Linked DNA regions of Xenopus tropicalis. The protein of the gene in region 3 interacts with the protein of the main gene of each other region in a pairwise test. Links are inferred from orthologs where the notes say so. Each region holds a gene or a part of one and is shown on either strand. Other genes may lie near its edges. The genes, in order: moxd1, ca9, glrx3, mapkbp1, trim36 and map3k3.

The links.
Region 1: the proteins of glrx3 (region 3) and moxd1 interact in binary tests that used the Homo sapiens proteins (3 or more experiments, as listed by UniProt). The link is inferred for Xenopus tropicalis from reciprocal best matches to the Homo sapiens genes GLRX3 and MOXD1.
Region 2: the proteins of glrx3 (region 3) and ca9 interact in binary tests that used the Homo sapiens proteins (3 or more experiments, as listed by UniProt). The two-hybrid records come from large-scale screens. The link is inferred for Xenopus tropicalis from reciprocal best matches to the Homo sapiens genes GLRX3 and CA9.
Region 4: the proteins of glrx3 (region 3) and mapkbp1 interact in binary tests that used the Homo sapiens proteins (3 or more experiments, as listed by UniProt). The two-hybrid records come from large-scale screens. The link is inferred for Xenopus tropicalis from reciprocal best matches to the Homo sapiens genes GLRX3 and MAPKBP1.
Region 5: the proteins of glrx3 (region 3) and trim36 interact in binary tests that used the Homo sapiens proteins (3 or more experiments, as listed by UniProt). The two-hybrid records come from large-scale screens. The link is inferred for Xenopus tropicalis from reciprocal best matches to the Homo sapiens genes GLRX3 and TRIM36.
Region 6: the proteins of glrx3 (region 3) and map3k3 interact in a two-hybrid assay, tested with the Homo sapiens proteins (2 studies listed by BioGRID and IntAct). The link is inferred for Xenopus tropicalis from reciprocal best matches to the Homo sapiens genes GLRX3 and MAP3K3.

What each region holds. Positions count from the first base shown.
Region 1 is NC_030681.2:70,268,503-70,272,710, forward strand, and holds the start of moxd1 (DBH-like monooxygenase protein 1), read right to left. Parts: upstream 2,801-4,208; 5' UTR 2,665-2,800; coding exon 2,410-2,664; intron 1-2,409.
Region 2 is NC_030677.2:217,092,750-217,096,249, reverse strand, and holds part of ca9 (carbonic anhydrase 9), read left to right. Parts: intron 1-1,433; coding exon 1,434-1,500; intron 1,501-2,478; coding exon 2,479-2,636; intron 2,637-2,888; coding exon 2,889-3,030; intron 3,031-3,492; coding exon 3,493-3,500. UniProt on the Homo sapiens protein: Catalyzes the interconversion between carbon dioxide and water and the dissociated ions of carbonic acid (i.e. bicarbonate and hydrogen ions).
Region 3 is NC_030683.2:22,217,709-22,221,712, forward strand, and holds the start of glrx3 (glutaredoxin-3), read right to left. Parts: upstream 2,801-4,004; 5' UTR 2,797-2,800; coding exon 2,732-2,796; intron 1-2,731. UniProt on the Homo sapiens protein: Together with BOLA2, acts as a cytosolic iron-sulfur (Fe-S) cluster assembly factor that facilitates [2Fe-2S] cluster insertion into a subset of cytosolic proteins.
Region 4 is NC_030684.2:105,027,932-105,031,431, forward strand, and holds part of mapkbp1 (mitogen-activated protein kinase-binding protein 1), read right to left. Parts: intron 3,291-3,500; coding exon 3,205-3,290; intron 173-3,204; coding exon 1-172. UniProt on the Homo sapiens protein: Negative regulator of NOD2 function. It down-regulates NOD2-induced processes such as activation of NF-kappa-B signaling, IL8 secretion and antibacterial response. Involved in JNK signaling pathway.
Region 5 is NC_030677.2:172,217,482-172,220,981, reverse strand, and holds part of trim36 (E3 ubiquitin-protein ligase TRIM36), read right to left. Parts: intron 223-3,500; coding exon 1-222. UniProt on the Homo sapiens protein: E3 ubiquitin-protein ligase which mediates ubiquitination and subsequent proteasomal degradation of target proteins. Involved in chromosome segregation and cell cycle regulation. May play a role in the acrosome reaction and fertilization.
Region 6 is NC_030686.2:17,080,605-17,084,567, forward strand, and holds the start of map3k3 (mitogen-activated protein kinase kinase kinase 3), read right to left. Parts: upstream 2,801-3,963; 5' UTR 2,721-2,800; coding exon 2,717-2,720; intron 1-2,716. UniProt on the Homo sapiens protein: Component of a protein kinase signal transduction cascade. Mediates activation of the NF-kappa-B, AP1 and DDIT3 transcriptional regulators.

The DNA.
Region 1 (4,208 bases), on a different chromosome or scaffold from region 3:
TCACTTTGCGCAGAAAGCTGTGCTGTCATGTTTAGTATTCTTCAACATAATCTTTGACCATTTTCCAGTGTTATTTTCTTGTTCTGAGCCAACTGGCTGAATTGTGTCAGTTAGCCATAAGATCAATAATAAGCAAATGAAGCCAGAAAAGAAGCAAGGGGCATGGCTACTAAAACTTCTTTTTCATTATTTAGCAGTGGGCAGACTTTGATGGCAAATCTCTGGGGGGAAAGGGGGGGGGTTATCTTGCAGAGACTTGATTGTAAAAATTAGATTTTTCATGAAACAGGCTCTTTATTTACAGGCAGTTGTCCAAAGGGGATTTTTTTAGGTCATGGAACAACAAATACTTTTATAGATTTTAGTATGGGGTATGTATGAAGTAATATAATGTTTACATTTGCACATTTAGGAATTTTGCACCTGAAACCATTCCTCTGCCAATATTCACTAATGTCTGCCATTACCATTACCAATGCTATGGGTGAAGGTATTACTGACCTGCCAAGAGACATCTCATAATATACTGTGAGGTCTTAGCATAAATGAAGGGGTGGGCAGCTAAAATATACACCATGATTTTGCTGCTGCCATCAAATCAGTGAGAATACTATACTGTCTGGTTATACTCTTTGCTGATATCTACAAAACGATTTCAATTCCCATGATGCAGTGTGAAGAAAGTCAGCTATTAGGGCTAGAAAAGCAGCTTTTACGGGGGCTGTTTTATCAAGTAACATGATGTGCTTCCAGTTTATTGTGTTTTGGAACTGGTAGCAAGAGAAGAGAGTTGAACCAACATTTCTGTAATAGTATACTTGGCATCAGAACTAGCTGCAGCACATTACAACAGCTCTGTTTTCTTTTTGTTTTTGGCTCTGTTAAAAAACAAAAAACAAGCAAAGACAAACAAGCAAAGACAAACAAGCAGAGACTATGGGATATTGATATCCAATGAAATTGAACTAAAAAAATTTAATTTTAAGCTTTATGAAATATTGTAATAAATATGTTTATACTTGTAGTGTAGTTGCCAATAGCAACCAACCAGGCCTTTGCTTTCATTCTCTAAATTGTTGTAGACTGTGCAAAATTAGTTTTTGTGCTTGTGCAATTCACCACCAGTGTTTGTAAATAAGGGGCACATTTACTAACCCACGAACGGGTCGAAATGAGTCAGATTGCGTTTTTTTCGTAATGATCGGTATTTTGCGATTTTTTCGTATTTTTTGCGATTTTTTCGGCGTCTTTACGAATTTTTCTTTACCAATACGATTTTTGCGTAAAAATGCGAGTTTTTCGTAGCCATTACGAAAGTTGCGTAAAATCTGGCGATTTTTTGTAGCGTTAAAACTTGCGCAAAAAGTTGCGTTTTTTTCGTAGCGTTAAAACTTACGCGAAACTTCGCACCTTTTAAGTTTTAACGCTACGAAAAAGGCGCAACTTTTCGCGTAAGTTTTAACACTACGGAAAAATCGGGCGATTTTACGCAACTTTCGTAATGGCTACGAAAAACTCGCGTTTTTACGCAAAAATCGTATTGGTAACGAAAAATTCGTAAAGACGCCGAAAAAATCGCAAAAAATACGAAAAAGTCGCAAAATGTTCGTTTTCAAGTTGGAACTTTTCCAATTCGGGTCGGATTCGTGGGTTAGTAAATCAGCCCCTAAGTGTTCTAATGCCACAGGTGTCCCAAAATCTTCCTCGATTGCAGTATTAAACACAGAATAAGAGATATTTTTGCTTCTTAAGTAAAATGTATAAATACAGTATTAACATTAGATGTCCCCTGTTCCTCTGATGTCACCCCCCCATCTTTCCTGTCCCTTGCCACTGTTGTGCTTCCAAGTAATCTGGGTTTAATTCACAAACAGTGTCAGCATGTACTGTGAATGTCTTCTAGTGGGAAAGCGCTGCATGAGTCAATCACTGAAGATCTGTATTCAGCCAGCCTTTCATCACACACAGCTGGGAGTCTATTGCACATTAGTATTTCTAATATTAATTATAATATATTTTAATAGACATAAAAGCACATACAATGTGGTACAAAGCAGCAAGCAGTCAACGTTTTCCATCTAGCAGCATAAATAAAACAAGCTGCAATATATTTTTCACTAATAATATCTACTAAGCATGAAGAATTTTAACATTTCTTTTATACTCCCACACAGTAACTCAGTGCTCAGTTAAGCTCAGTGCTTAAGAGAATAGAAAAACATGAAAACATATTGAACCAAAATACACTGAAATGCCTTACTTCTGTACTGATCCCAAAGCCAATAAACCAAATATTGCATCTACAGCAGTTAAGGATAAGCACTGGGGTATATATGCTGCAGTGAGATTTCTGGTCTTTGTGCAAAGTCCCATAGGAGGTAATTACTGGGTGCAGATAAAGATCCCTACCTGCAAGTAGGGCTTGCCTTCTTCCACTCCTCCAATAACAATGTCTGAAGAAGCCATGTCCCCATTGGGAGAGAACCCAAAACCAACATAGCCTAACGTCTCCACCTGTAGCAGGAAGGTGATTGACTTGCCATGGTGCCTCCAGTGCAACATGTATTTTCCCTGCCCATCCAGAACTGCACTATGGCTGTAAGGTTGTAGGTCCACATTCAGGGCTGTGGCAAAGAATGGAAATAGAAAGAGAAATGCAAACATCCTTATCCAATGTTTCCTCTGTAATGGACAGATAACAGATGTGGGATATCTTTCCACTCAGCCCTCTCCCTCCCACACACTCCTAGACACTCGCCACCCCTAGCTTATAGTAGGAACTTTGAAGATCAGAGGAGGGGGAGATGCAGCGTGCACAGTGTGGCTGTGGGGTTTATATGAGACCATAAGAAATAGACATGACTCGAGCCCTGAGCCAGCTCCACAACAGTGCCCTGAGGCAGTAAGTGCATAGAACATGCTGCTACAAGTGGCTATTCTTTGTTTTCAGAGATGTTCCCTTTGTAATCCAGTAAGCTAGATTTAAAGAGCTCAGATCTCTGGAGCAGCACAAACAATATGCTTTTTCTGCTCTATTTTTTTACAGCTTTGTCAAAAACCCATTGTGATCTAAGTAAGAAGAAGTCAGCCAATATACGACAAATTATATTTATTTATTTATTTGTTTGTTAGATTAAAGTCAGCTCTTTTCAAAACATTGTGCTTTTTCAAATGTATTTTATGTATATTCTGAATATATATGTTATGCTGTGATAACCTCCAGCAACAGTATTAAATAGAACTTTTTTATATTACAGACTAAGTATAACCCAGATACTTTATGGATTATATGGTAACAACGCCTGGTCTGACATTTGCCTTAATAGTAGTGCCTGTTCCTACAGTGTATTGCTGAACTGATTTTTTCTGCAGTGTACCTTCCACTGCATACTGCATTAAAATATTTGACTGTTTGGATACAGACTACTGTAAACCAAAAGCTGCATGAAATGTAGTTCTATTTACACACCTTTCTCATGAAATGCACAGTGTATGATTTTGATTTCACAGTAGATTTTGGTAGGATCCAGTGGCAGGTGATGACAGATATGGAAATTGTAAGAAATAGCTCTCTTCATTGGGGATAAGAAGGGCTAGCCATTTCACACAGAAGAGAGGGGGGTCGATCAATGCAAATTCCCCTGTCCCCTGTTTTATAAGTCAATAAGTATCTATACAAGTGCATGTATTTTAAAAACCAGGGGTTTTACTTATGATCATAAAATTCACAAGCCACCTTACCATGTCCTGTAGAATAACTCTGCTAAAGTACAGAAAAACACAAAGCAGGAGCACTTCAATGCTAAGTAAAAATATAGAATTACAATGGAAGTCCAAATGACTTGGTCAGTTTATCTACAAACATACAAATGAGAGGGGGCTGATAAATGCACATTCCCCGGTCCCCTGATTATCTATGCAAGTACATCTATTTACAAAAACATGGGTTTTTAGCTAAGTTATGATAAGAAAATTGACAAGCCACCATACTACATCAAGGTAAATTCCCTTCTACAAAGCTCCCCTAAAAATTGTGCAGTTTATCTCTGACAATACCACTGACATATATACTCTTTCTATAGTAAATAACTTTCTAAAGCAAAGAAATCCAAAACATTATAAAGAATATTTAGGGATGCAAAGTCTGAGCCAAGAATGTGCAGAACAGAAGCAGAAATTCCCTCACTTAAGAAGACCCATGTGACAAT
Region 2 (3,500 bases), on a different chromosome or scaffold from region 3:
CCTTACCAGAACCCCCCATCCCAACCACTACCCCCCATCCCAACCACTACCCCCCATCCCAACCACTACCCCCCATCCTCACCAGAACCCCCCATCCCAGCCACTACCCCCCATCCTTACCAGAACCCCCCATCCCAACCACTACCCCCCATCCTCACCAGAACCCCCCATCCCAACCACTACCCCCCATCCTCACCAGAACCCCCCATCCCAACCACTACCCCCCATCCTCACCAGAACCCCCCATCCCAACCACTACCCCCCATCCTAACCACTACCCCCCATCCCAACCACTACCTCCCAACCAGAACCCCCCATCCCAACCACTACCCGCCCATCCCAGCCACTACCCCCCATCCTCACCAGAACCCCCCATCCCAACCACTACCCCCCATCCTCACCACAACCCCCCATCCCAACCACTACCCCCCATCCTCACCAGAACCCCCCATCCCAACCACTACCCCCATCTTTACCAGAACCCCCCATCCCAACCACTACCCCCCATCCTTACCAGAATCCCCCATCCCAACCACTACCCCCCATCCTTACCAGAACCCCCCATCCCAACCACTACCCTCATCCTCACCAGAACTCCCCATCCCAACCACTACCCCCCATCCTTACCAGAACCCCCCATCCCAACCACTACCCCCCATCCCAACCACTACCCCCCATCCCAACCACTACCCCCCATCCTCACCAGAACCCCCCATCCCAGCCACTACCCCCCATCCTTACCAGAACCCCCCATCCCAACCACTACCCCCCATCCTCACCAGAACCCCCCATCCCAACCACTACCCCCCATCCTCACCAGAACCCCCATCCCAACCACTACCCCCCATCCTCACCAGAACCCCCCATCCCAACCACTACCCCCCATCCTAACCACTACCCCCCATCCCAACCACTACCTCCCAACCACTACCCCCCATCCTCACCAGAACCCCCCATCCCAACCACTACCCGCCCATCCCAACCACTACCCCCCATCCTCACCAGAACCCCCCATCCCAACCACTACCCGCCCATCCCAACCACTACCCCCCATCCTCACCAGAACCCCCCATCCCAACCACTACCCCCCATCCTCACCACAACCCCCCATCCCAACCACTACCCCCCATCCTCACCACAACCCCCCATCCCAACCACTACCCCCCATCCTCACCACAACCCCCCATCCCAACCACTACCCCCCCCATCCTCACCAGAACTCCCCAACCACTACCCCCCATCCTCACCAGAACCCCCCATCCCAACCACAACCCCCCCCCCATTTAGGACAGGGCAAGGAGTGGCAAGCTGTTGCCATTCCAGGAATAAGGTACATAGATTACTTTAACCCCATTGGTCGAGCTGTGGGTGTTGGGATTCTGTATGGTTATTTGGTGCAGGAATAGAATTTATCTGATTGGTTCTCCATACAGGAGGGGGAGGAGGAAAATCCTGCCTTTCAGAACCTGCTTCCCTACCTGCAGAACATAACTGAGGAGGGTAAGTGCCCAATCAGGAACCCCGAGAGCGCAAAATGAATGAATATAAGGGGGGCACAGGGAGACCCCAACAGAGAGTTAAAGACGGAGCCACAGGGGGAGTTGTGGGGGGCACAGGGAGACCCCTTTTATCCCCATAAGTAATAAAAGGCCCATTTGAAGTAACTTATAGTAACCAATAAGATATTTGCTTTTAAGCAGGTAAGCAGTAAATTCTACCAGCTGATTGGTTGCTATGGGTTACTGCACCTGGGCAGACTTAGTGCCTTTAAATACATAACCCTATAAAGAGTTAAAGATGTCAGGAAAACAAATTCACAAAAATATTAATAAAAAAACAGTTTCTGGGGCAGTGACTGCAGGAAGTGAGTGCGGAGAGTGAGTGGAGGCTGGGGGTGAGTGCGGGGAGTGAGTGGAGGCTGGGGGTGAGTGCAGGGAGTGAGTGGAGGCTGGGGTGAGTGCGGGGTGTGAGTGGAGGGAATGAATGCAGGAAGTGAGTGTGACTGCAGGAGGGAGTGAGGGGAGTGAGTGGAGCCTGGGGTGAGTGCGGGGAGTGAGTGGAGCCTGGGGTGAGTGCAGGAAGTGAGTGGAGCCTTGGGGTGAGTGCAGGGAGTGAGTGGAGCCTGGGGTGAGTGCAGGGAGTGAGTGGAGCCTGGGGTGAGTGCAGGGAGTGAGTGGAGCCTGGGGTGAGTGCAAGGAGTGAGTGGAGCCTGGGGTGAGTGCAGGGAGTGAGTGGAAACTTGGGGTGAGTGCAGGGAGTGAGTGGAGGGAATGAATGCTCGAAGTGAGTGTGACTGCAGGAGTGAGTGAGGGGAGTGAGTGGAGCCTGGGGTGAGTGCGGGGTGTGAGTGGAAACTTGGGGTGAGTGCAGGGAGTGAATAGAGTTGAGGCTGGGGGGCCCTGTGGGAGGAGTCAGACCAGGTGAGGAGGAGGAGCTGCTCGTTGTGGGCAGAACATTCACATGACTCTCTCTCTCCAGGTGAAAGCATAGAAATCCCAGGGTTTGATATTCGGGGGTTATTGCCCCAGAGGCTGGACAGATATTACCACTATGACGGCTCCCTCACTACCCCCCCCTGCTACCAGACTGTCAACTGGACTCTCTTCAACCAGACCATCCTCTTGTCCCCAGAGCAGGTGAGTGTCACACATCCCACAATGCACTAAGGGGCAGTTAGTGGCCCCACAGCTGAAAGAACACACATTTATCTGGATCAAGCTATTGCCTCCAGTCTGGCTCTTGGCCCACTGGTTCTGTTCCACAGTCTAACGGGGCGAGTGCGGGAGGGCTCCCGTCTGACTTACCCAAGTCTTCAGCCTCTACATGATCCATAACTGCATCTTTGGCCCCTCCCCCAGCACTCACTGACTGTCCCCCTTCTCTCTCAGATGGACCTATTGGAGGACACTATCCATGCCGACCACGATCACATTCTGCAGAACAACTTCCGTGCTCCTCAAAGTCTAAATGGGCGACTTGTTCTGAGCAGCTTCAGTCCAAAAGTGTCAGGGCGGAGACTTCCTGGGGCAGGTAATGCAGAGCCTTCAGGGTCCCAAACCCACCTGGCAATGTAGGGTACAGGGTAAGGAACCCCACTCACCATACAATGTAGGGTACAGCCTTAGGAACCCCACTCACCATACAATGTAGGGTACAGCCTAAGGAACCCCACTCACCATACAATGTAGGGTACAGCCTAAGGAACCCCACTCACCATACAATGTAGGGTACAGCCTAAGGAACCCCACTCACCATTCAATGTAGGGTACAGCCTAAGGAACCCCACTCACCATACAATGTAGTGTACAGCCTATGGAACCCCACTCACCATACAATGTAGTGTACAGCCTAAGGAACCCCTCTAGAACTCATGCTGTGAGTAGAACTTTCATGAGATCTCCGGGTTCAGGTAGAACTTTATTCTCAGGAGCACAATCTGTGAATGGATCTCAGTTCTGTAGAACACCAGTAATGGCTTTGTCTCTCTGACAGCCCCCAAT
Region 3 (4,004 bases):
AGCTGCCTTGGTGCCCCCTCTACCAAGGAGTCCCTGACTACTGTACCCCATGATGGTGGCTCTAAATGTACCCAGCAGCTTCTATTGTTACAAGGACTTTAATTTACAACTTAAGTTGACAAATTAATCCTCTCATATGTAGACTACTAAAATCACTGTATAGGGTTCTAGGCTCTTAGCAATTTTACATAAACAGCATTACAGATCTTATTCTTCATTCTATTGTTTGTGTCCTGTATTCTGTGTTGATCTACAGAGAATGGGGGCTGGCAAGTCTAGGCTCAAGTATGTAGCTATAGGTTGCACAATTTATTGGTTCTATAAGAGCCCAGCAAGGCTGTATATTCTGACACAGAAATGTTACGCTTGATTTATGTTATTTATATTTTCTGTGTATATATTATTTATTATCTGGCCACACTGCCCCTAAGGGTAATTTCAGTGATGTACATTAGTACATATTCCACATAACCATGCACTTCATGATATAATTTGTAAGATCCGTTTTTATGTGCAGGATATTATGATAATTACAATGATGATTTGTTGGTGGTTTTTCTGTTATGTCAGTAGCATGTGTGGCCGAAAAGCCGAACACCACAACATTCAGCTGGTGTAATTTCTGTTTGTGTGAGCAAAGGCATGTACCTTTCTTATTGCCCCCACAGGGCATTGGTAAATTCTTTCTGCCTATTAAGCTAGAGATGAAACAGTGTTTTATACCATAACCTTTTGCACAATTAATTAAACTGTGTGTAATGTAAAAATGCACGCAAAAAATCACCAAAATTTATGTTCTTTGGATACTGTTCAGTTTGGGGGATTGGGCAGGTTTAGCGTATTTCTTTTGCTGATGTATCATGCCATCAGTGTATGGTGCATCGGCACAAAAGTAAAGAGCAGCCACAGTTCTTCTTTACTTCCTGCTGTTCCAATCCTTCAGGCCCTTTGCAAAAACGAATGGAACGACAGAAAGTTAAAATACCATGTGAGGCGACTCTATTCATTCAGCCTGCGGACCAACTGGTCGGAGAGTAACTACGCAGCCCATGTATGCCTGCCTTAACTTTGCTGTAAAAATATCCACGCAGTCAGCCTCCCATCACTTACACTGGCTACACACAAGCAGAAACCGCCTGCAGAGCTGCTCACTCCAGACTAGACATCTAGTAGCGTATTGTTTTTGGGGCCAAAAGGACAGTCCGACAGTGATATCTATATAAACCACCACCCAGTTATAATCAGGCCCATCCCCTGCAATGACAGTTTAGATTAAGGATGTATCAAATCCACATTTTGTTTTCTGTCACCTCAGTTGCCCACATTTCATTAAGCGTGGCTGCTTTGTTTGCTCTTCGGCAAGTGACTTTAGTTTTCTCTTACTGCTGCCTCCATCCGTATAGGATAATAACCCACTAGCCATTCTAATGACTGCTGCCCACCCAGGGAAAAACTGCAACAACTCAAATGCCGGGTAGCCTCCTTGCACTGTTGTGTTTGTATGGGTAGAGCTAGCCATACATGTTCCAATAATATCATACGAAACCTTGACGAGTCGACCGATACGCAAAAGTCTGCAGAAATTGGTTGATCGGCCAGGTTAAAAGATTAAGATCTGGTGCCATTGAAGGCGGCCGAGCAAAAACTAAGTTCAGGGCTGAATCGGCAGAAGGAGGTAGAATTTCTATTGTTTCTACATCCATATCGGACGAGTCAGCCCTGAATGTCCGTGGAGGGTGGGAACAATCTTGGAATGATTGGAATTCCTAGGGGTATGGCCACCTTTACACTTACACAACTCTATAACTAGACACTGGGGCAATACTTATCAAGAGCCAGACATCAAGTAGAAAGGCAGTTGGTGGGATCAAGGACTGAATTTTATCACTGGCCCCTTATGTTACAGACAGACCCAAACCCTAGCCACATATGAGCTGCTGATAGGGCCATTCCAGAGTGTGTGTGTGTGTGTGTGAGTATATACACACACACACATATATATATATATATATATATATATATATACATACACACACACACCCACACCTGGTGTCTCAACCCTTTCTCCTTGTAGATTGTAAGCTCTTTTGGGCAGGGCTCTCTTCACCTCTTGTATCGGTTATTGATTGCTTTATATGTTACTCTGTATGTCCAATGTATGAAACCCACTTATTGTACAGCACTGCGGGATATGTTGGCGCTTTATAAATAAATGTTAATAATAATATATATACACACACACATGCCCCTCATGACATAATTACTGAATAGCATTACCCTGATAATAGAGCATCACCAGTATTCAGCCAATAGGACCAACACGATTGGTGCCAAGCTGGCAAAGTGGCAAAGCAGGGCCAAGCTGTGACCTCTGGATATTACTCCAATACACATTACTGAGACTCCTGGGAGCTGTAGTACAGCAAAAAGGATCAATGACATTAGACAACAGTTGAAAGTAAGGACAAATACCATAATGTCCAAAAGTTTAACTACAACTCTCAGTTTCTCCTGCCCTTGTACTTGAACAACAGACAGGGGGCCGCCAGCGAGGCCTACGCCTTGACCAGCCCTATCCGCTGCCAGAGAGAGGAGCCCTCCAGCCTGTAGCCCTCTCCCAATATGAGAGGGGCCTGACACTACCCCCATGCCCCTAGCCCAGTGACAGCCCCCATACTGAGTGCATATGCCCCCACACTGAGCCCTGGCGCCTTCTCACTTAGTCACGTACTTTGCGCTGTTCTGTATCAGCTGCTCAAACTGGCCCGCAGAGCCGGCCTCCAACACCGCCGCCATGCTGCCCGCACCCAGGGAAAGCAACCGAGCACCGAGCCAGCGATGGAACCTTACACGCTAAAGCGGAGGGGACAGACGTGAGTAGCAGAGTGTAGAACGCGGATCGGCTGAACTTGAGCCATAGCGCCTCTGTCCGCCTTTCCGGGTTCAACTTTTAAAGACAAGTTCACGGTGTTTGTGGGTCCCGCGTCGTTATGTTAGCCCTGCGGCTTTATTCAGTCCCCGCTCCTTCCCTTTCTCACATAGCTTAGGGCAAATGTTTCATCTACATGAAAAGCATTGCTCTAACAGGACATGATTTAAAGAATATCAATAAAAATAAGTCTTCCTCTAAAATAAAGTAAATAATGGCCTCAAGGGCAGGGGGTACAAATCTCCATTGTAGCGGGCGACTAATCTCCCCGCAATTCGACCCCACCAGCTAGAATGTAAATTGCCGGCGGGATGGCATACGCGTCGCTGTGATGTCCGGCAGTTGCCTGAAGTTTCCTCTCAAGGCGACTTTGGGCAACTGCGGGACATCGCAGTGACGTGTATGCCATCCCGCCGGCAATTTACATTCTAACCGGTGGGGTGGTGTTGCGAGGAGATTAGTCGCCCGCTACACTGATGATTTGTCGCTGGCCGACTAATCTCCCCGTGTACCCCTGCCCTAAAGCTGGGTGTCTGAGGCAGCAAATAGGTGTTCCACCAACTATTAGGGTGAAGACACAGAGCTACTAGTAGCAGCTACTTGTCACAGCTACAAAAATAGACAATGCTGATCATTTACCAATAATTGTCTGTGTGTTTTAGTATTGTCTATGGCAGGGGATTTTGTGGTGTTTAGTAGGCGTGACAGGTAGCTGCCACTAAGTAGCTCCGTGCGTATTTACCCTTAAGGGTAATGGCAGAGTGGGCAAGTTACTAAGTGCTGGAATGGTTGCCCTGTCATTCCTTTGGTAATTGCCTGATGGGTCGGAAGATTATCCTTCAAGATTTCTGACTAAAGGTGGCCGTACACTGTAACATCTGCTCGACTGGCTAAGTTGCCAAGCAAGCAAATCTTTAATCCGATATACCTTCCTTGGGTGGGCAATATCATGCTAATGCAATTGTTTGGCTCTAGGGCCAAGCGATCACATTACAATGAAGGGAATACAAAAAGTTGGCGCATGAACCGCATCACTGAGCCGATGGAGTCTGCAATCCGACAGAAAAATAAAACC
Region 4 (3,500 bases), on a different chromosome or scaffold from region 3:
CTGTCAAGTTAGAGCCAGTGTCATTCAGGGGTGTCAGTGCTTCCCCTGTCCCAGGGCTGCCATTGCCTTCTTTCAAGAAATCAAGCTCTCGTTTCACCATACCAAAGGTTTCAGTCAACAGACCTGCTATCTTGCAGCGCTCCAGGTTAGTTGATGGATCAGCTGTGGTTACCTGGGAGACAGAATACAATTAGATAAGCAAAGGCTAAAGGCACATTAACCATATTTAATTATTTTTTCTAAAGGAAACATTAAAAGTAAGACGCAGAATGATATTTCCACTGCAAAATTTTCTCTTGCTTGTATAACTTTAATTTATCTTGCCTTCAGAAGGCATTTTGTTTTTATAATCAAAACCCTTATCTCCTGATTTAGGGCTCTGGTACACGGGGAGAACATGTAAGTCACCGGCGGGATGGCAGACGCGGCGGGGCAATTTCCGGAAATCGCCGAAAAAGACTCGCAAGTCTGCCATCCCGCCGGCGACTTACATGTTCGCCGGTGGGATGGCAGGGGTAGGCAACTCGGGGAGATTAGTCGCCCGCGAACAGGGAGTTAATCGCGGGCGACTAATCTCCCCCGTGTGCCAGAGCCCTTAGGCTGGATGCCCAAACAACCTGAAGGGAAATGAAGAGGAGTCACAGAGCTATGAATCCCAGACTTCCTTTCAGCCAACCAACCAAAATCTTCCACCAGAATCCACAAGCATCACAGGATTATACATCCATTTTTTTCAAATGTGATTTTTCTGCTTATAATGGAGTCTATAAGAGATGGCCTTTTCATAATTTGAAACTTTCTGGATAATGTATTTCCAGATAAGGATCCCCATACCTGCATTACCAAAAAAAGAGATTTTGAGTTTGATTGATGCTTTAGGGTTTGCCGTTTGGGAGTTTATGCATGTACAGGTTCTATATCATATGTATCATACTAAAATAGTATTTCTAAAGCAAACAGCTTTTACCAGTGCAGGGCAATAGTACATAATATATTCATTATTTTGATACACTTTAACTTGTTACATAGTTACATAGTTACATATAGTTACATAGGGTTGAAAAAAGACCATTGTCCATCAAGTTCAACCCATCCGAGTAAACCCAGCACACAACCTATACTAACCAATCTATACACTCACATACATAAACTATATATATACAATCAGTAATACTAACTGTAGATATTAGTATCACAATAGCCTTGGATATTCTGCTTGTTCAAAAACTCATCCAGGCCCCTCTATTAACAGAGTCTGCCCTTACCACATCACTAGGAAGGGCATTCCACAGCCTCACTGCCCTCACCGTGAAAAACCACCTACGCTGCTTCAAATGGAAGCTCTGTTCCTCTAATCTATAGGGGTGACCTCTGGTGCGTTGATTGTTTTTATGGGAAAAAAGAACATCCCCTAACTGCCTATAATCCCCTCTAATGTACTTGTACAGAGTAATCATGTCCCCTCGCAAGCGCCTCTTTTCCAGAGAAAACAACCCCAACCTCGACAGTCTAACCTCATAGCTTAAATCTTCCATCCCCTTTACCAGTTTAGTTGCACGTCTCTGCACTCTCTCCAGCTCATTAATATCCTTCTTAAGGACTGGAGCCCAAAACTGCACTGCATACTCAAGGTGAGGCCTTACCAGGGACCTATAAAGCGGCAAAAATATGTCCTCATCCCTTGAGTCAATGCCCTTTTTTATACAAGACCGCACTTTATTTGCTGTAGTAGCCACAGAATGACACTGCCTGGAATTAGACAACTTGTGATCTACAAAAACCCCTAGATCCTTCTCCATTAAGGATGCCCCCAACACACTACCATTCAGTAGATAGTTTGCGTTTATATTATTCCTACCAAAGTGCATAACTTTGCACTTGTCAACATTGAACCTCATTTTCCAGTTTGCTGCCCAGTTTTCCAATTTTGTCAAATCGCTCTGCAAAGCGGCAGCATCCTGCATGGAACTTATAGTTTTGCACAATTTAGTGTCATCAGCAAAAATAGAAACAGTACTCTCTATGCCCACCTCCAGGTCATTAATAAACAAGTTAAAAAGCAAAGGACCAAGGACTGACCCCTGCGGTACTCCACTAACCACACTGGCCCAATTAGAAAATGTTCCATTTACCACCACTCTTTGTACTCTATCCTTCAGCCAGTTCTCTATCCAATTACAAATATTATGTTCTAGGCCAATATTCCTCAATTTGATCATTAACCTTCTGTGAGGTACTGTATCAAACGCTTTAGCAAAATCTAAGTAGATGACATCAACTGCCATTCCAGCATCAAGGTTCCTGCTCACCTCCTCATAAAAGGCAACTAAATTAGTCTGGCAAGATCTGTTACGCATAAAACCATGCTGGCACAAACTAATAGTATTGTGAACTGCAATGTATTCAACTATCCTATCCCTTATTACCCCTTCCAGAAGCTTTCCTACTACTGATGTCAGACTAACAGGCCTATAGTTTTCAGGCTGAGAACGAGATCCCTTTTTAAATAACGGCACCACATTAGCAATCCGCCAGTCTCTCGGCACCATGCCAAACCTCAACGAATCCTGAAAAATTATGTGAAGAGGCTTGGCAATCACAGCACTCAGCTCATTTAATACCCTGGGATGAATCCCATCCGGTCCTGGACCTTTGTTTACCTTTACATGTTCAAGTCTCTTTTGAATTTCCTCCTGAGTGACCCATGCGCCAGTAGCTAAATTACTAGCACTGGGTATATTAAAAGGGAAGCCTTCATTATCTGGCTCCTCAGATGTATAGACAGATGAAAAATAAGAGTTCAAAATTTCAGCTTTTTCCCCGTTCTCATCAACCAACGTACCTCCCCGTGATAATAAAGATCCCACCCCTTCTTGCTTCATTTTTTTACTATTCACATAATTAAAAAATAATTTTGGATTCTTTTTACTCCTAGCTGCAATATCCCTTTCCATCTCTATTTTAGCTTGCCTGATAGCTTTTTTGCATGCTTTATTTGCTTCCTTGTACCTGATGAAAGTTTCCGCTGTCCCAGCTAACTTGAATGCTTTAAAAGCACGTTTTTTATTACCAACCTCGACCTTAACTCTTTTATTCAGCCAACTCTATTATTGTTGGTGTTACTGTTCTTTTAAGCAATAGGTTCCTGTATGGAAATGTGCATTAATGTATCATATAACAGGGCACAGAAGGTTGAGTACTCACAGATCGGTACAAGCTCAGAGCCTTGCGGAGACTGTCCTGCAGCTCCGAAGCAATTAGCTCACACTGCTCAAAACTCACAGACGATGCTGAAATAAAGAAGCATCATAACCATTAACCTTAGAGAGAGACCACACACTCACATGTAGGAAACAAACTTTTATACAACAGGCATGAAAGTACATGTATTTAGAGAGACTTTTGTTCTCTGATGCTAAGAACTGTTGATAGCTGAAGACAAACTGACCAGTGGTCTGGTACACACAAAAATGTAAGAAAAATGTAATACTGTATGGAAT
Region 5 (3,500 bases), on a different chromosome or scaffold from region 3:
AATCCATGCAGCTTTTGGTAGATTCCTGAGCCGGAGGTTTGCAATAGTCACACATGATGGCAGTTGCTGCTCGGGCTGCTTGTCTGTAGCGTTCCACAATAGCTTCCAAAGTAACGTTGCGAAAAAGGCCATTTATGCCACGTTCTCCAAGATCTACATCGTGCAAACATCCAGGGCATGATATGGTAGTGATCTTAGGAGTCAAAGAATTGCGCTTGGAGCCTATGAAATGTTTAGATAAAATTTAGTTTATGCCCAATATGAACATAACAACACAAGAAGCGATAAGCACATAAGCAAAATGGGATAAAATAGAAAAACAAGAGAAGTGAGATCATCTGTTGACCAAAAGAATAACTCCAGCAAAAGACTGAGCTCACCCAACTCTAGACACTAAGAGGAAAAACCATTGCCTTTGCTGGAGAAGACAATTTATGTTTCTACAGAAAATTCAGTGGCTCATAACACTGTGGGATACCTGAAACAACTGTGTGGACCCAGAATGCCACAATGACCCACTACTAAAATTATTTTTCCCCAAAGATGCAGATTTTGACTGATAACAGGTAGTCAGGAGGGCTTGACTGCTGTGACAGAAACGCTCTGTTTGTGCCAACAAGTAACCACTTCAAACCTGTTTTTATATATAATATATATATATATATATATATATATATATATATACACACAAAAATACACTAGGTAACATCAATACCTCTCTTCCTATTTACTAAACCAATTCAAAGAAAGTCAGACAATACCGTTACAGTTTAGGTAAAGCAGTGATGAACAATCTATTTTGGGGCCTAACAAGTCTAACAAAAGCAGAGGTCACCAAGGGGAAGCAGCGCATAGAAAATTAAACAAAATATCTATACCAAAGATGCCTTCTCAAAGAGTCACACAAAAACCACACAATTCACTGCTCCTCATACCTTCTCCTGCCTTTCAACAAAACATGATTTTTGGATCTTCACACAGCAGTAATCTTGTATTACATCCATGTTCTGACCTACTTGTACCACGGTGATATTCACAACACATGAAGGGCCACAAATATGGGATTGAGAACCAATGGTCTGCAGCTTGCATGTCCTTAATAGAAAGAGAATCAAATACAGGTATGGGATCCGCTATCCAAAAAGCTCCAAATTATAGGAAGGCTCCATTTTAATAAAAAAAATTCACATTTTTAAAAACAATTTTCCTTTCCTCTGTGTTAATAAAAGAGTACCTTGTACTTTATCCCAACTAAGTTCAATGATTTTATTTAGTAGACTTAAGTTATAGAGATCCAAATTATGAAAAGACCCCTTTTATCCAGAAAACCCTAGGTTCCAAGCATTCTGAATGACAGGTCCCATACCTGTACATGGATTTTAAGACTTAAAAACAAGTTGCAAATGTCGTAAAGATCACTTACAGTTTGGTTTAAAGATCTCCATTTGTAACACTGATCTTTCCAGCAAGCAGACACCCCTCAGTCCGTTTGCCACTGCCAAAATAAACTGCTCTCATACTGGCATGTTCAGTACTGAAAAGGCCATTAAACTAGAGGTTTTCGATTGGGTTATGAAAAGGGATGGTAACAATAACACTGGTTATGGAAAGATGGAGTATAAAAATGGCAACAAATACAATGATATAGTTGGCCAATGTGGATATTTTAGACTGAATTTGCAGCCTTTGCTCTAAATTTTGCGCTGAGGGACTTAAGCTAGCCATACACACACCGATAATATCGTACGAAACTTTGCTTGTACGATATTCGGTGCGTATATGGCGAGTCGGCCGATATCGCAGGAGTCTGCTGATATCGGTCGTCTCGCCGATCGGCCAGGTTAAAAGAGGCGCCTGAGCAAAATCTGCCTTCAGGGCTGAATCGGCAGAAAGAGGTAGAAATCCTATTGTGTCTACCTCCTTATCTGCCCTTTTAGCCCTGACCGGTTAGTGGCTGATTAAACGATCGCAAATCGCCACGTGTGGGGCCACCTTTACAGGTACAAAGTGTCAGATGTCTGGATTTTCATCCCTGAATTCAATTAACACTTGAAAAGACACATATTCCAGTGCATATCTCAGGCTTGGACACCCTTTCTCAAGTAATAACACACAGATCTCCTTTAAAGGAAAGTTAATCTCAAGAAAATTAACCAATGTCAGTTTTCTAACCTAAGCACTTTTGGAATTTACAATTGTAATAATAATGTAATGGTTTAAAATAATTGCGTTACTGCAAATGCCTGTAAATACCAGGCTGTTGGCTCAACAGGCCTAAAGCTAAAAGAAGACCCATAGTATATGCACTGGATTCAAATATCTCAGAAACCACTAAAAACAAAAAAAAAATTAATGTAAATGACAAAAGTTCTTAAAAGGCATCAATTTAATATTTGGGGATTGGATTCCTTTTAATACCCAAAATCATATTGAAACATTCCATCCTTTAGAGGGTTACCACTCAAGAGCCAGTTGATAGAGGCTAAACCAATGAGAACTTATCTTTGAAGTCTATAGAAAGTCTTTGTGGCCTTAGATCTAGCCCAAAGGGTCTACCACAGGAAACGATTAGAAATACATATTCAATAAACAAACAAACATAGTAACCAGTCCCAAAGCATGTAGTACAGCATGTGTTGCTAATCAAGCCAGGTATCATTCAGTATAAGGGTGAAGACACACAGAGCTACTAGTAGCAGCTACTTGTCACGGCTACAAAAATAGACAATGCTGATCATTTACAGATAATTGTTTCTATGTGTGTTTAAGCAGAGGCAATTCTCAGTATTGTCTATGGCTGGGTAATTTCTGGCGTTTAGTAGCCATGACAAGTAGCTGCTACTAAGTAGCTCTGTCGGTCTTCAACCTAAAGGCAGTCGCACACAGGAAGATTAGCCACCCACAACTTGTTTTTAAGTACCTTGCACTGTGTCACTTGCCTGTAGCAAACAAAATTGCATGCATAAACCAAACAGGGTGAAGCCACGGCACCAATTATGTTACATTAGCTTTGCAAACTTTCATTCTGTTGGAAGACAACTCTACATACACTGGAAGTTGATGAAGCATGCTGATGATTCACATATATAATGGCTGGTTTGAGATATGGACAGTAACAAATGGTGTGATTCAGCAGGTACGGTATCCCTTCATTTTGCAGCGGTTTCACTAATAATTGGATATCTTTGATCTCTACCTGAGAATTATGGACCAACATTTACAACAAATGGATAGTCACTAAAAACAAATTCTATATAACATGAAGAGAATTGTTCATACTACTAACTGCATGTTGTGACCTCCCTGTAATTTCCCTGTGTATTACTTTTTTCTAGAAAAAAGAAGTACTGCAACGTGCCCACACATGCACCGATGTCCACTTAATTCTGCTCATGTATGGCGGACTTAATGCCTAAAGAAGAAGTATCATAGTTAACCTCAAGTGCAATTTCTATTTTCTTCTTACACACATGCCTAGCAGAATTTCAGGGACTACAGCC
Region 6 (3,963 bases), on a different chromosome or scaffold from region 3:
CCTTGTCCTTTATAAGTATGGACCAGAATGCAAAAAGTTAAGACTACTGCTTTAAACTGCAATTACATTTACAAATAACATTAAAAGCACTTACAATTTTTGCTATAAATGTATATTTGAAAGTTGCTTAGAATTACATTTTTAGAGTGGAGAGGTGGAGAGCAGCAGATTTTATACCAAGCACTGCTTGTGTTTTTTCCAAATCCCTGTTATTATTATGACATATTTATAAAACACCAACATATTCCACAGTGATGTACAATAAATGGGCATATACATTGAGGTGAAGAGGGCTCTGTCCATTAGAGCTTACAATCTAAAAGGAAAAGGAGTTGAGACACTGGAAACTATGACAACAACCTCACACCAAAACAGTCTCACTCTGCCACTCAGCATCCAATCAGATATCTGCTTTCATAATTTTATCTGCAAGAAAACAATCACACAATTGCTGACTGGCTGCTAAGAGTTACTAGACTGGTGGAATTTGCACCCAACTGGGCAAATGGTAAGTGTGGCTAGAAGGGCTTCTGTATTTCATATTTGTGGCAAATCTCTTTGAAGAGCAAAGGCTAGGAAATTACAATAGCAGGGCTGCGTGTAAAAAAAAAAGGAGCAGAACTCTTATTTCCTAATAGAAATGCAGCTTTTCTACAGTGCAAACACCCAAAGAACTATTTTCTAAACGGGGTGCCAGAATTTGCGGGGCACATTGGGAAGCATTCCGTGGGGTATAGACAGTAGTCTGTCTGCAGCAGACCAATCATGACTAACTAGAAACCCAGAAGACCAAGACTGAGAATGGAAATTATTAGATAAACTTTATGACTGATTGCCATGGATTACAGAGACAGTGAGTGAGTGAGAGACAGAGACAGTGAGTGAGTGAGAGACAGTGAGTGAGAGAGTGAGAGACAGACAGTGAGTGAGTGAGAGACAGAGACAGTGAGTGAGTGAGAGACAGTGAGTGAGTGAGAGACAGAGACAGTGAGTGAGAGAGTGAGAGACAGACAGTGAGTGAGAGAGTGAGAGACAGACAGTGAGTGAGAGAGTGAGAGACAGTGAGTGAGAGAGTGAGAGACAGACAGTGAGTGAGAGAGTGAGAGACAGACAGTGAGTGAGAGAGTGAGAGACAGACAGTGAGTGAGAGAGTGAGAGACAGACAGTGAGTGAGAGACAGACAGACAGTGAGTGAGTGAGACAGACAGTGAGTGAGACAGACAGTGAGTGAGTGAGTGAGTGAGAGACAGACAGACCGTGAGTGAGTGAGACAGACAGTGAGTGAGGCAGTGAGAGCAGGAAACAGTGAAAGATATGCCAGAGACAAGAGACATACAGTGAGTAAGTTACAGAAAGACACAGTGAGTGACAGCAGGAGCTAATAACAGAAAATTGTATTTAAATGACAAGAGAGAGACACAGCGAAGGAGTGCATGCGAGTTAGAGAGACAGTTAGTGACAGCAGGAGGCACAGAACATTGTATTAAAGTGACAAAAGAGAGACACAGTGAGTGAGTGCATGTGAGTTAGAAAGACAGTGAGTAAATGACAATGCATGTGAGACAGGGACAGAGACAGCAGGAGACTGTGACAGAAGAGAGCATATAAGTGATGAGAGAGACAGGGAGTGACAGTGTGTGCTAAATAAGTTACAGTGAGTGGCAATAAGAGACAGTGACAGAAGAGTGTATGCAAGTTACAGAGAAACACAGAAAGCCAGTGAGTGACAGCAAGAGACAGAAAAGTGACAAGAGAGAGACACAGGGAGTGAGTGAGAGAGAGGCAGTGAATGACAGCAGGACACAGAATATGACGGACAGTGTATGTAAGTGACAAGAGAGAGACACAGTGAGTGAGAGATAGAAACTGAGTGACAGAGTGACAGTGACAGAGAGACAGAGAGACAGTGACAGAGTGACAGTGACAGAGAGACAGTGATAGAGTGACAGTGACAGAGAGACAGTGACAGAGAGACAGTGACAGAGTGACAGTGACAGAGAGACAGAGTGCCAGAGAGACAGTGATAGAGTGACAGTGACAGAGTGACAGTGACAGAGAGACAGTGACAGAGAGACAGTGACAGAGAGACAGTGACAGAGAGACAGAGTGCCAGAGAGACAGAGTGCCAGAGAGACAGTGATAGAGAGACAGTGATAGAGAGACAGTGATAGAGAGACAGTGATAGAGAGACAGTGATAGAGAGACAGTGATAGAGTGCCAGAGAGACAGTGATAGAGAGACAGAGAGACAGTGATAGAGAGACAGAGAGACAGTGATAGAGAGACAGAGAGACAGTGATAGAGTGCCAGAGAGACAGTGATAGAGTGCCAGAGAGACAGTGATAGAGTGACAGTGACAGAGTGACAGTGACAGAGAGACAGAGTGCCAGAGAGACAGAGTGCCAGAGAGACAGAGTGCCAGAGAGACAGTGATAGAGAGACAGTGATAGAGAGACAGTGATAGAGAGACAGTGATAGAGAGACAGTGATAGAGTGCCAGAGAGACAGTGATAGAGAGACAGAGATAGAGAGACAGAGAGACAGTGATAGAGTGCCAGAGAGACAGTGATAATGAGACAGAGAGACAGTGATAGAGTGCCAGAGAGTGCAAGTGACCCCCCAGAGGAATGTCAGTGGCCGAGCAGACAAGCGGGGGAGAGTGCCCGTACAAGAGCTTGCGTTACGGCCATAGCCAGTGACTAGGCCCCAGTACTTACCCATGGCGGAGCAGGGGGCACTATTCCGGGCAGCCCTGTCAGTTTCCCGGGCCCTGAGGCCTCCCCCGATTCTTAGGTAAAGTTGTATGTAGCGCCTCCTCTGCTACTGAACCCACCGCCTCCTCTGGGTTATTCTCTCCCCGGGTCTGCCCCGCGGCCCGTCAGCGACTCCGGTCACCTCATATCCGGCTTGGCCAGGGCTCCGGGGGCTCAGGCCTTACTCTGGGCCAGTTCCTAGCCCGCTGCAGGACCTACACACGTCACCGGTGACATCACTGCACCATGTGACCGCCTAGCTAGCGGAGAGGAAGAGTAGGTCATTGTGCAGGAAGTGAGAGAGTCTGTAGAGCAGCAGGTATTAGCGGCCCAGAGAGACTCAATGTAATGGTTGCGAGTACCTGTCTGTGGTGCTGGGCTTACCAGTGGGAGACATGAGAGTCATGGGCTAGAGTTGTGTGGCCTCTGGGCTGCCTAGGCTCTAGCCATTACTAGTTGACAACTCTTGCAGCAGGGGACAACAGCAGGGGGCTGATTGTAGGGGTATTGGGGCATAGTTATTCTTCTGAAGGGAGCTTGTATTCTTGGTACTGAGTTACTGAGTGGGGGTAAGCCTGCTGCAGGGGTCTGTTTATAGGGGAAGAGTAATCTTGCTGCAGGGGGCTGATTGTAGGGCTATTGGGGCATAGTTATTCTTCTGAAGGGAGCTTGTATTCTTGGTACTGAGTTACTGAGTGGGGGTAAGCCTGCTGCAGGGGTCTGTTTATAGGGGAAGAATAATCTTGCTGCAGGGGGCTGATTGTAGGGCTATTGGGGCATAGTTATTCTTCTGAAGGGAGCTTGTATTCTTGGTACTGAGTGGGGGTAAGCCTGCTGCAGGGGTCTGTTTATAGGGGAAGAGTAATCTTGCTGCAGGGGGCTGATTGTAGGGGTATTGGGGCATAGTTATTCTTCTGCAGGGAGCTTGTATTCTTGGTACTGGGTTACTGAGTGGGGGTAAGCCTGCTGCAGGGGTCTGTTTATAGGGGAAGAGTAATCTTGCTGCAGGGGGCTGATTGTAGAGGTATTGGGGCATAGTTATTCTTCTGCAGGGAGCTTGTATTCTTGGCACTGAGTTACTGAGTGGGGGTAAGCCTGCTGCAGGGGTCTGTTTATAGGGGGAGAGTAATCTTGCTGCAGAAGGCTGATTGTAGGGGTATTGGGGCATAGTTATTCTTCTGAAGGGAGCTTGTATTCTTGGTACTGAGTTA